Linked DNA regions of Rattus norvegicus. The protein of the gene in region 3 interacts with the protein of the main gene of each other region in a pairwise test. Links are inferred from orthologs where the notes say so. Each region holds a gene or a part of one and is shown on either strand. Other genes may lie near its edges.

What was found.
Region 1: the proteins of Creb3 (region 3) and Fxyd3 interact in a two-hybrid assay, tested with the Homo sapiens proteins (2 studies listed by BioGRID and IntAct). The two-hybrid records come from large-scale screens. The link is inferred for Rattus norvegicus from reciprocal best matches to the Homo sapiens genes CREB3 and FXYD3.
Region 2: the proteins of Creb3 (region 3) and Fam3a interact in a two-hybrid assay, tested with the Homo sapiens proteins (2 studies listed by BioGRID and IntAct). The two-hybrid records come from large-scale screens. The link is inferred for Rattus norvegicus from reciprocal best matches to the Homo sapiens genes CREB3 and FAM3A.

The regions. Positions count from the first base shown.
Region 1 is NC_086019.1:95,436,853-95,440,950, forward strand, and holds the start of Fxyd3 (FXYD domain-containing ion transport regulator 3 precursor), read right to left. Parts: upstream 2,851-4,098; 5' UTR 2,834-2,850; intron 1-2,833. UniProt on the Homo sapiens protein: Associates with and regulates the activity of the sodium/potassium-transporting ATPase (NKA) which transports Na(+) out of the cell and K(+) into the cell.
Region 2 is NC_086039.1:157,323,763-157,328,002, forward strand, and holds the start of Fam3a (protein FAM3A), read right to left. Parts: upstream 2,851-4,240; 5' UTR 2,518-2,850; exon of another isoform or gene 2,340-2,517; 5' UTR 2,280-2,339; coding exon 2,267-2,279; intron 705-2,266; exon of another isoform or gene 703-704; coding exon 589-702; intron 109-588; coding exon 85-108; intron 1-84. UniProt on the Homo sapiens protein: May act as a defensin against invading fungal microorganisms.
Region 3 is NC_086023.1:62,616,620-62,619,549, reverse strand, and holds the end of Creb3 (cyclic AMP-responsive element-binding protein 3), read right to left. Parts: coding exon 2,916-2,930; intron 2,818-2,915; coding exon 2,749-2,817; intron 2,152-2,748; coding exon 2,067-2,151; intron 1,981-2,066; coding exon 1,896-1,980; intron 1,821-1,895; coding exon 1,498-1,820; 3' UTR 1,068-1,497; coding exon of another isoform or gene 831-1,067; 3' UTR 531-830; downstream 1-530. Other genes in the region: Gba2 (non-lysosomal glucosylceramidase), read left to right, coding at 1-10, 90-205, 289-480, 831-1,067. UniProt on the Homo sapiens protein: Endoplasmic reticulum (ER)-bound sequence-specific transcription factor that directly binds DNA and activates transcription. Plays a role in the unfolded protein response (UPR), promoting cell survival versus ER stress-induced apoptotic cell death.

The DNA.
Region 1 (4,098 bases), on a different chromosome or scaffold from region 3:
GGGAAGAGGGTGCCAGGAGCCAGGTGGCAAGAGGCCCGGGTTCTGGGAGTGGCTCCCACAGACAGCTTGGAGCCTGCCCGGCTCTGCCCACACACTGCAGGCTTCTAGCTGAGGCCTGAGCTGACTCCCTGGGCTGCTGGGTGCGGGTGCGTGTAACAGGGAAATAGTGTCAGGCTGATGGGATAGATACAGAGAGTCCTGGATGTGGCCTTATCTCCATCTTCTGTCCTACCCCTGGGTCTGTCCCTTGAGACCCCACTGAGCCCTCTCTGCAGTCCCACTGAGAGCTCTCTGCATGCCCCACTGAGCATTCTCTGAGTCCCAGCTCATGTCCAGTCTTTGCCCCCACACCACAGCCCTCACCCTGCTCAGCCTGTGCTCACTCCCCATCCCAGCCCTGCTGGCAGCAAACACTACAGGTTCCCCAGCGAGGCTCACTCCACATAGAGCCCCTTTCCATACAGCCTGAGCCGCGACCTGCTGTCTTTCCATCACCCTGGAGGGCTGTAGTAAAAGTCCTGCTGTCTGTGGACCTCCCGTGCTTGCCTCACTCAACTGTCCTGAGCTCATGGGCACATGCATGTGCCAGTTCGTGTACACACACACACACACACACACACACACACACACACACACTCTTAATCTCCTAGCCCTTGGAGAGCTGAGGCAGGGGGATGGCAAATTCAAGGTCAGCCTGGACATAGCAAAACACTGTTCTACCTCCTCTCTTCAAGGAAAAATCTGTTCACAGTAAGCCTACTATCACTGCCAGGAACATGGCACACAGGATCTGTTCCTTCATGGAGCCTGAGTGGCAAATCCTAACACTTGTCCCCACTGCCCATTTGCTGGACACTGTCCAGTGACTTTATAGTGACTCCTCTCTTTAATCCCCAGCAACCCCAAGGTCACCCTTCAGAACTAACCCTTTTCACTCATACCAAAGCACACACTTAGAAGGGAAAATGGAGCCACCAGCCACCTATGGTGCAGGGGAGTTCCACATGCTCACACAGACACCTCCATTTCCCTGGGGCAGATCCCAGAGGCTGAGAAATCCTTCAGCTTCTTCATTAATCTAAATCAGTGCAGGCTTAACTCAAGCTACTAGGGAAGCTGAGGCAGAAGAAATTCTACTTCAAAGTCAACCTGGGATACAGGCTAAGTGCAAGGCCAGACTGAACAATTTAGTGAGATATTGTCACAAAAGAAAAAGTTTAAAAAAAAAAAAAAGGAGATGCAGCTCAGTGGTAGAGCCCCTGCTTAGAATCCCCCAGTAAGGGGCTGGGGGCGTGGCTCAGTGGTAGAGCCCCTGCCTAGAATCCCCCAGTGAGGGACTAGCGATGGAGTCTTGCTTAGCCTGCTCTTCAGGCCCTGAACACACACACTCTCTCTCTCTCTCTCTCTCTCTCTCTCTCTCTCTCTCTCTCTCTCTCTCTGTCACACACACACACACACACATACACACACACACACACACACGAATGCACCCATGTGTGCACACCCTGGACCCATTAGTTTAAATTAGACATATTTCTTGTCATTGATTTGGGAACTATTTCTCAGATGTCTGGGGCCCCAGCAAGCTTTGGAGAACTCAAGTGGTGGTTAGGGGCACAGGCTATGGATTTCTGTGCTCTGAGGCTGGCTGCCTCCTGATTCTGTCACCCATGCATATAAAACACCAGCCTTGACAGAGGGCTCCTGCTGAGTGCCCCACCTGTGCAGCCATTTTTCTCAATCGGAGCCGACTCCCTCGTACTGTCCTTATCCCACACGGCCCTCACCTGGCAATTCATCCTAATGCTGCATGCTCTGTCAGCATGGCTGCTGGGTCTCACCTCTACACTTCTCCCTCCAGACTCCTCCAAGGCCTCCAAAGGACCACATTACCACAAAACCTTCCAAAATTTGGGAACCTGGACAAGGGCAGGGGAAGACAGATGGTTCATCTGCAGCCCTTCCTTCCTTCCTCTGCCGTCTGGACCCTGTCATCCCTAGGGCTGGGAGGGGGGCCGGAAACAGCCCTCTCTCCTCACTGTCCTACCCTGCTGGTGCTGTGCTCTGAAGAGAGCCTGCCTGCTTCTGAGTGAACCATAGTGGGAGGCAACGCAGAGGGAACCAGCCTTGCCTGGGACATTAAGCAGCCTCATGCACTTCCTGCCTGCGCTAGGCAGAGGGCAGTTGCTGTCTCCTGCCCTCTGTGTCCTCCCCTCCTCCAGGACGGTGGATGGTCATGTCTGCAGGGGTACGATGCATACACCCTTGTTATCTGAGTCCCCATCTCCTAACCAAGTCCCACTTTCCTAGAGCAGACATCTTCTCTCTCCTGGTGCTCATTTATTCTCCGTGTGCCCCAATAACTGGCCACCCAACACACCTCCATCTGTTTCCTCCCCCAGTGCATTTAAATTACTGTTCATGTACTCAATTACCCCTAGATACCGTCCCTACTCTCACCCCCTGAGAAACCCTCAATCATGATATTATGGTATAATCACTTCCTGTCCACCCCGGCACCCCCACTCTGTTCAGATGTCTCAGGTAAACCCAGACTTCTCAGACCTGTCCCCAGGGTTTCCTGATTCCACTGGGTGGGTCACTCCAGTTGTCTAGTCCAGTCTCACAGAGGTGAGCCATTAGGGACAATCAGCTGACGGGGAGGGTAGTTCTCCCATCCCCATCAAAGAATCTGTAAGCTGGAAGGTTTTAGGGGTCTTTAACTCCAGTTTCTGTGTAGCAGGTACAGTCAGAAGAGAGTCAGGGAGAGTTGGGGAGCAGAGGCAAAGGGACCCCCAGGGCTCTGGGTGAAGGAGACCCCAGGGCTGCTCACCTGAGTAGCTCAACAGGCTTCGAGGTTCCGGGAGAAAGCAGAGTATGGACTCCCAAGCCAGGGCAGCCTTTATCCACACCGCCACGCCCTGAGCAAACCTGGGCAGGCAGGCACAAGTCAGGTCTCCCTGAGGCGAGGGACGCCCCCACTCCATTCCTCCCTTAAAGAGACAGTTCAACCCGGTCTCCAGCTGTAGTAGCCTCAGGTGAAGTGAAAGGGGAATCAGGGCGGGCTGGAGATTGGCATCTTAAAGGAGGGAAGACGGTATATCTGGTCTCCTGAACATCAAAGGAGACCTGGAATGGGGACGATTCTGGGGTCCTTAAGGACAGGCCCTCTTTCTGGAGTGATGTGGGAGAAAGCTTGGAGCATCCATGTAACACTTCTCTGATAAGCAGAGGTAGGGGTGTGGCCTTTTCTTTGAGACAAGGTGCCACTACGCAGCTCTGGCTGGCCTAGGAGCTCACATTGTAGACCAGCCTGGACTTGATCTTACTGATTTCCACCCATCTCTGTCTCCCCAGGCTGGGATTAAAGACACAGAGCACCAGTTGTGGTTGTTTGGGGATGGGCCTGGTGGCATTTATAGGGAACTAAAGCCCACTTTCCATCCTGCATCCCTTGTTGGCAGGAGGTTTGGTATGACCAAAGTTGTAATAGGAAACACTCAAGTGGTCGGTAGAAGTGGGGGTTTCTGGTTCTTGGGGTTCGTAGTCCAGGCCCCTGGAGACTGAAAGCTGAACTGGCTTTCTATGTCCCTCCCAGGGATGAGAAGCTGAAGGGTGGATGCTCGACCTACCCAGTGGGTGTGGGTGTGGATGTCAAAATTGCCCTCCTCCACTGCAGATGAGCCCCCTGTACTCCTCAAGCCCCCTCCCTTCCTTGTCCCCCTCCAAATGGCACTCCTTCCGCCTGGGGTCTGTACAGGCTCCCACATGGTCCCTGTTGGAGGTGCCCCCTCCCCCCAAATTCTGCCTCCTCACACAGAAGGACTTTTGTCTGGGGTCTGGATAGAGAACAAGGCACCATTGAGTGTCTGGCAGAGGATTGGGGTCACCGGGAGGGGCAGGGCCAGGAAAGGGGTGGCTTCTATTCGGCCACCAGCTGGACTCCAGACGACCCCCAACACTATGGTGAAGGCGGTAGGGTGGAGACACCAGGCTTGGGAGAGGCTGCTATTGTGGGTGTGGAGAGAAGAGTTTAAGGGAACTTAGGGTCAAGGGTCTGCGGGGCAAGGAAAAGGACTCCCTACTTCCCACCATGCC
Region 2 (4,240 bases), on a different chromosome or scaffold from region 3:
GAAATCCTAGTGGGTCTGGCTGGCAACAAAAGGCAGTATGAAATGCAGGCACAGGAGGGAAGAGGGAAGGGACAGGAGACTTACCTGCAGTCACTGAGTTCTCTGGGCCTGTAGGTAGAGAGTTTTTTCTGTTAGCATAGAGGCCTCCAGGAGTCTACAGCAGAGTAACTAGGCTCAGGGACTCGGGTTCAAGTCAGGCTATATTTGGCATTTTCCCTGCTCAAGTCTCAATGATGCCCTGATGTAAAACTGCCTGCTCCAGGAAAAGAATGAACTGGAATTGTAAACAGTGCTTATGTGACTTGGCACCAGTGACAAGGTATAGAATCCCTTGTGTGTCTCAGAGCCCAACCGAAAGTCCAAGATGATCAATATTCAATGGAGGCCTTTCTACTCCTTACTCCTACTCTATCAACTTCCACTCAATATTGATTGCAATTAGGGATGTTCTCTAGGATGGTTTGTAGGAACAAGGCTGCATTTGTGTTAGAAGATAGGCCTAGGGCAGCAATGAAGCCTGCCAAGAAGGGAATGGAAAACCCAACCACCATAACCTCTATAGTGAATCAAGAGGGTCCCCACACTCACTGGTGAAGAATTGCTGAATTCGAGGAAGGCCAACACCAGGACCACCTAGGAGGATGGTGACTAGGATCCAGGTGAGACCCATAACGATGATTAGGGCCACGATGCGCAGGGGGCCTGCAGGCAGGATAGACACAAAGCAGGACTATCTCAGACATCAGGGAACAAACCCTGCAATAACCCACTACTTCACATGACCAGATCTCTCCTTCTACTTGGGAACAGGTGATGGTAGGATTGGAAGGTGGGGGGCTAATTGCTACCCACCAGACCCAAGAGAGAGATTTGAACTTCCTCCTAGTAGAGGAAAGAAAGTGAGTCCAAACATTGAGGCTGCTCTATTTGGGTCTCCCCTGCAGGTTTGGAGGGGCCTTTTAGAACTCATGTTCTGGGCAGGTTCCATAGCAACAACCTCAGCATCTTGCCTCTGAAACTATCAGTATATTTAGTTGTTCACCCATCTGCTTTGCCTGTCCTCTTGTTCTAATGGAAGCTCTATACTCCTGGTGAAGACCAGTCCTTCTACCTGTTTCAAGATCCATCAAGTTCTCTCCTGTCTCAGATATATTGTGCTAAGACTACTTTCTATCTTACTTTCTCTCATATTATCAACAGGTCCTAACTTAGTAAGATAAAGATGAAACAGAGCTCCTGCAAGAAAAATATCATTCACTGACTCTTCATCTTCCACTTTTCACCAAAGTCTTTAAAAATTTATATTCTGGCTTGGGATAGCTCTGTGGCAGAGCATTTGCCCAGCATGAATAAGACCCTGGCTTCCATCCCCCAGCATACACATAAAAGTAATTTACATTGTGATTTCTATCACCTCACTCCCCAATTCTCTCCCCAAAAAATCTTCTAATCTAGCCTTGCTCCCACAACACCAACTAAATGACCTTCCAAACCAGACCACCTATGTCTTTCATGATGTCACATTTCTGATTGTCTATATGCTCTTTCTGGACCTCTCAGTGGGCTGTCCAAGCCCTCCTGATGCAAACACTTCACTATAGATTCCAGGACACTACCGTCTCCTGACCCCATCATCTGGGACTTCCTCTTTGTTGGTTAGATTGTGTTCCATTACTCTCTCCTCAAAAGGTGTTATTTTCCAGACTGCCTTCTCCCATCTTCATACTATGTGGGAGATTTCACCATGCAACAATGACACCCACACCTCCAGTCTTCGAACCCATACCCTTCCAGCCAGTTCCTTAATGTCCAATTTGGACTTATCCACAAAGCTGCTATCTTACCAGTTCTCAAATTCTACTCTTACCCCAAACAGTCCCTCCAAGGAACATTCATATTAGTAGTCCAGCTGACAGCAGAGCTGCCACTCAGATCGCACCCAACCTCACAGGCACCTAAGTCAGTTCTCTTCTAAGGCCATGCCTCTCTTTGTCTACTCTCCACTCCTTTCTATCCAGCCACTAGGCTCCCTGGAGCATATTTCTCACAATTAATTTTCCAAAAGGCAGCTGGTCTGTTATTTGTGATATATAAAAATCAATCCTTAACTTAATAGTTTGGGAAGCTTTAGTCCTCAGAGGTGAAAGAAAATGAGTTTGCACAGTCATCCATTAATAAATAAACAAACCAGTGATCACCCAGTCCCCTCCTAACACAGACACTAGGACACCTGAACTCTCTTCAGTTTGCTGTGGAAGCCACCCACCTGCCAACCTCATGTCCACTTCTCCCGCTGGGTTGGGACCTCCGGCAGGTGCACTGTTTGTGAACTGTGGGTTCTTGGAGGAACGAAACAGGAGAGAGTAGGTTTGGGAGTGGGGGCAGGGGCAAGTCTGTGCTGGACGAGATCGGTGCTATGACTTGTTCTTCCAAACACCAGTCCGGGCTCAGTTCCTCATGAGCGCTGGGAGAAGCCCTGTCTGGCCAGGAGAGCCTTAGAAATCTGTCCCACCTCACAGTCTGGCTATTAGAAGTCTCCAGGAATGGAACGTAGCAATGGTCCTCCTCGACCCGGGTCCCTCCAGTGCTAGGCCCGGGGCTCAGGTCGCTCCTCTCGAGGCTGGTGGCAGAGAATGGTCAGGCCAAGGATGTTGCCTGGGTGTAGGGAGACGCAGACCGATCAGGGAGTTCCCCAGTGGTCTCGCTCTGCCGGTTAGGTGAAGCAAATGAGTCACGTAGGAAAGCTTAGCAGGCAAGACAATGGCCGCCCGCAGAACGCCACTACCCACAGGCGTCGCTCTGCCATGGGCCCATAGGCTGCGCTGTGGGTCCGCAGGTCCTCACGCAGGCTCCACCTCCAGGCTCGTCTCCTCCCTCTTCTCCAGAGGCTGGGTAGGAGGTACCGAGTGTGGCTGTGCACACCTCTTGTGCTAAAGCTGAACCGCCTACCTTCCTACAAAGAGCCGGAGTCATTGTTGCAAAATAAAATCTACTTGTAGACTTTAAGGCACTATACATTTTATAGTTCATGTTTGCTTAGAACTCTGTGTAACCCAGGCTGTCCTCAAACTTGGAGCAATTCTCCTGCTTCAGTCTCTCGAATGTTGGAATTACTGGCTTAAACCACCAGAACCCCCATTTCCACTTCCTCCACACACACTCTTGGGTGAGAGATCTTCTATTTCTACGTTCGATGAGCTGAAGTTCCGATTGTGACTTGATATCAAAGCTTTCATGGCTCATAAGAGGATGGATCTGGGGACATAGATAATGACTTAAGGTTGACATATGTTCTTTAAGAACATGGAAGGTTCAGAAGCACATGTGGAGATAAACCTGAACCTATGGTTGCTTTTTTCTGCTTAGTGTTCTTTCCTGAGAGTGTTCTGTTTTATGTATCACTCAGTGAGGGAATGTTTGGAACATTGCTTTCAACCCTCATGTTTGAGCTTTTTGCCCCGACCACCTACAGTGTCAGGGCAGCTGGACTAGTCCTTTTTAGCTGGATCCATCTATCTCTCAGGCAGCTGCTGAGTGGTGGTATACGCCTTTAACCCCGCACTCTGGAGGCTGAGGCAGGTGGATCTCTGTGAGTTTGAGGCAGCCTGGTCTACAGAGTGAGTTCTAGGACAGCCAGGACTACATAGAAAAACCCTGTCTCAAAAAAATACAATTAAATGGTATAAATTATATTCACAGTGTTGTGTAGCTATTACCAGTACCTATTCCTGTATGTATAGATTTTTACATATACATATGTAACATATATATATATATATATATATATATATATATTACATATAACTGCTGGTCCTCCTGCTTCTACATGCCAAGTCTTGAAATTAAATGTATGACAACATGCCCAGCAGGACTTTAGTTGTAGCTATAATGTCCTAATTCTTTTTACCCTATGTGTGATATGTGTGTATGTAGATATGTGTCTTTGTTCATGTATGTTGAGTGTAGGCATGTGTGTACCAGGACACATGTGTGGAGATCAAAGGACAACTCCAGGTATTGGTCCTAACCCTCCACCCTGTTTAAGACAGGGTCTTTTTTATTGTGTGTATGGCTCCCTAGGTGGCGTAAAAAGCTTCCAATCTGTTTCTGATCTTCCTATAGGAATTCTGGGATTATGGGCAGGTGCTACTGAAGCCTGCTTCACATGGATCCTAGGCTAAGAATAGTCTAGGAGCCCTGCAGACAGGCAGAGGAAGGTGGATCACTGTAAGTTCAAGGC
Region 3 (2,930 bases):
CTCTGGAACGGTGAGTAAAAGCAACCTGGGGCATCTTAAAACCCAACCTCAGGATACAGCAACTTTACTCTGCTCCCTCTCTATTCCAGGACGCTATTACAACTACGACAGCAGCTCCCAGCCACAGTCCCGCAGCGTCATGTCTGACCAGTGTGCTGGGCAGTGGTTCCTGAGGGCCTGCGGCCTGGGAGAAGGAGACACTGAAGTGAGCGAGTAGAAGACCCAGAGAAGTGTGGGTTTCCCTGGAGGTGGGAGGCAAGTCTGACTCCGCCTTTGCCGTTCCTCCAGGTATTCCCTACCCTGCATGTTGTCCGTGCTCTCAAAACCATCTTTGAGCTCAATGTCCAAGCCTTCGCAGGAGGAGCCATGGGGGCTGTGAATGGGATGCAGCCTCATGGTGTCCCTGATAGGTCCAGTGTGCAGTCTGATGAAGTTTGGGTGGGCGTGGTCTATGGGCTGGCAGCCACCATGATCCAAGAGGTAATGTACTCTCTTCCCATCCCCTCACCATTGTACCTTAGTCCAGAAGACTTCCTCAGCCATTCAGTTTATTCCAAGAACACCTAATGCCATCTCCCCCCCCCCCCTCCGGAGCTGGGGACCGAACCCAGGGCCTTGCGCTTGCTAGGCAAGTGCTCTACCGCTGAGCTAAATCCCCAACCCCACCTAATGCCATCTTACCCATCCACAGAGCTCCCTCTTCCCGGATATGCCTTCCACCTCTTGCCTTTTAAGTTCTTGCCTTTAGGGCAAACAGCTTACTGCCTTATCTGCTAAGGAAATTGTGCTGAGAACTAGCTATTATGTGTGGCTTCTACCTCTCCCTACAGGGCCTGACTTGGGAAGGTTTCCGGACAGCTGAAGGCTGTTACCGCACTGTATGGGAACGCCTGGGCCTGGCTTTCCAGACCCCAGAGGCATACTGCCAGCAGCGAGTGTTCCGCTCCCTGGCCTACATGCGGCCCCTGAGCATCTGGGCCATGCAGCTGGCCCTTCAACAGCAGCAGCATAAAAAGAACAGCAGCCGGCCAGCAGTCACACAAGGCACAGCACCCAGCACAGCCTGAATGCGGACCAAAGAGATCACTGTAAACCTACGTCCAGAGCGATCCCACTGAGCTGTGGAGGCCCAGCCTCCGCACGGGGCTTCCCTGCCTCTTCCCACAAGTCCTGCAGCCCTGAGCCAATAGGACAATCATGCCCCTCCTCTTCCTACCCCGCTGTGCCAGTAAGAAGGGGCTGAGGAACCACTTATTTATTTCTTATCCTTCCCATTCCTTCTGTGGATGAAGTATTCAAGGCCAGTAAATTTCTCCAAATCTATTCATGGGACAACAGATACACATGGGTATAAATAAAATGCTCATACAACTAGTTAGTGTGGTGAGTTCCTGGGCATCCTAACAGGCCCGTGAGCAAAGGCTGGCTCTCCCCTACTCCTTTTTATGTGAATACAGACAGGAGTCCTTGGGCTGAGGACACCCCATATCCTCACACCTAACCTGAATACCTGCCCTGTAAGATGATCGAAGAAGGGCTGTGGGTAGAGAGCCATCCTCCACTTTCTGTAAGATTTGCTTGCAGGAGAAGGTCGGAGCCTGAGAAGGGCATCTCTGAAGAAAGATCAAGGAGTGGCCAGTGCGGGGGTTGCTCTGTTTGAGCCATGTGGTTCAGGCAGGAAACATTGCTGGGGGCCAGGAATGTATGTTCTGAGCTCTCCAACTGGTTTGTGCTGCCCATTGGTAGCTCTGGCTGTAGGGCAGACAGCTTCGGCTGATGCTGGTCCTCGCTGGGCAGGGCACGAAGCTTGCGGTGCAACACTGAAGAGAAAGAGACTTGTCAGGAGACAACACAGAAGAAGCCCTCTACCACAGCCCACGCCTCAAGCCTCTTACCAACATACTCAGCGGGCACACTCCCCCTCACATCAGAGGAGTACATAGCAGGTACCAGAAGAAGGCAGAAGGACAGCAGGAGGACCTAGAACACAGGGAAAGGGAGGTGATGGGCTCTGGGTCATACACCCCAGCCCTGCCAAGGAAAGTGTCTCTTGTCCCCCTCCTCACCAGAACGCAAGTGCTGCCACTGCTGGTTTTGTTTGCTATCTCAGTCACCATGGCCTGAAGTTTCCTCAGCTGATCTAGAAGGGACCTAAGAGAAGAGAGGAAACTGGTGGGCATGCTCCGGCCTAGTGTCCAAGTCACAGTGAAACCCTCCTGTTTAAGCCACCCTCTCCACTGGTGCTGTGGACCCAGCCTCCGCTTCCTTGCTCCTTTTTCCCCAAATGACTTTATTGTGCACAAATGCCTGTGATCCCTTAGTGAGACAAAAAGTAAAACTTCTCTGCCCTGACTTAAACAAACTCCACCTCCTGTGTGGACATCTCCACAGGACAAGTGTCCAGCACTTAAAAGCCAGAGTTTTCTTATTTTAAGCTCTCTAATGCCTTAAACTCTGCATGCCTCACCCAGCACTGTGTTCTCTACCCCTGGGCCAACCCCCCAGAGCTAGTGTCCAGCCAAGCACAATATGTGTCTTCTCCGAGTCCCATGCCCATGACTGCAACCGCTCTGATGTTGATGACCTGCATTCAGCCTTTTCTTACTTCTTTAACTTGGTACTTACTGCTCCTTAGCTACCTTTAAGTTTATTCTCCATCACTCTGATGTCTGCATTTAGAAGTCGCGTGGACCAGGGGAAAGAGTAAAAAAGCATTAAAAACATGAATGGCTTCAAATGGCCACTTACAGATTCTGTTCCTCCAGATGCTGCACCTTGTTCTGAAGCTCCTGATTCTGGGCTGTGTATTTCAAGACCCTGGAGGACAACATGGATACAAGGACACATGGATATCCAAATATTGTGTGTCCTCCCTTCGAAACCTTAGGTTTCTAGCTTCCCCCATGCCCATTTACCTGCTCTCTAGCCCC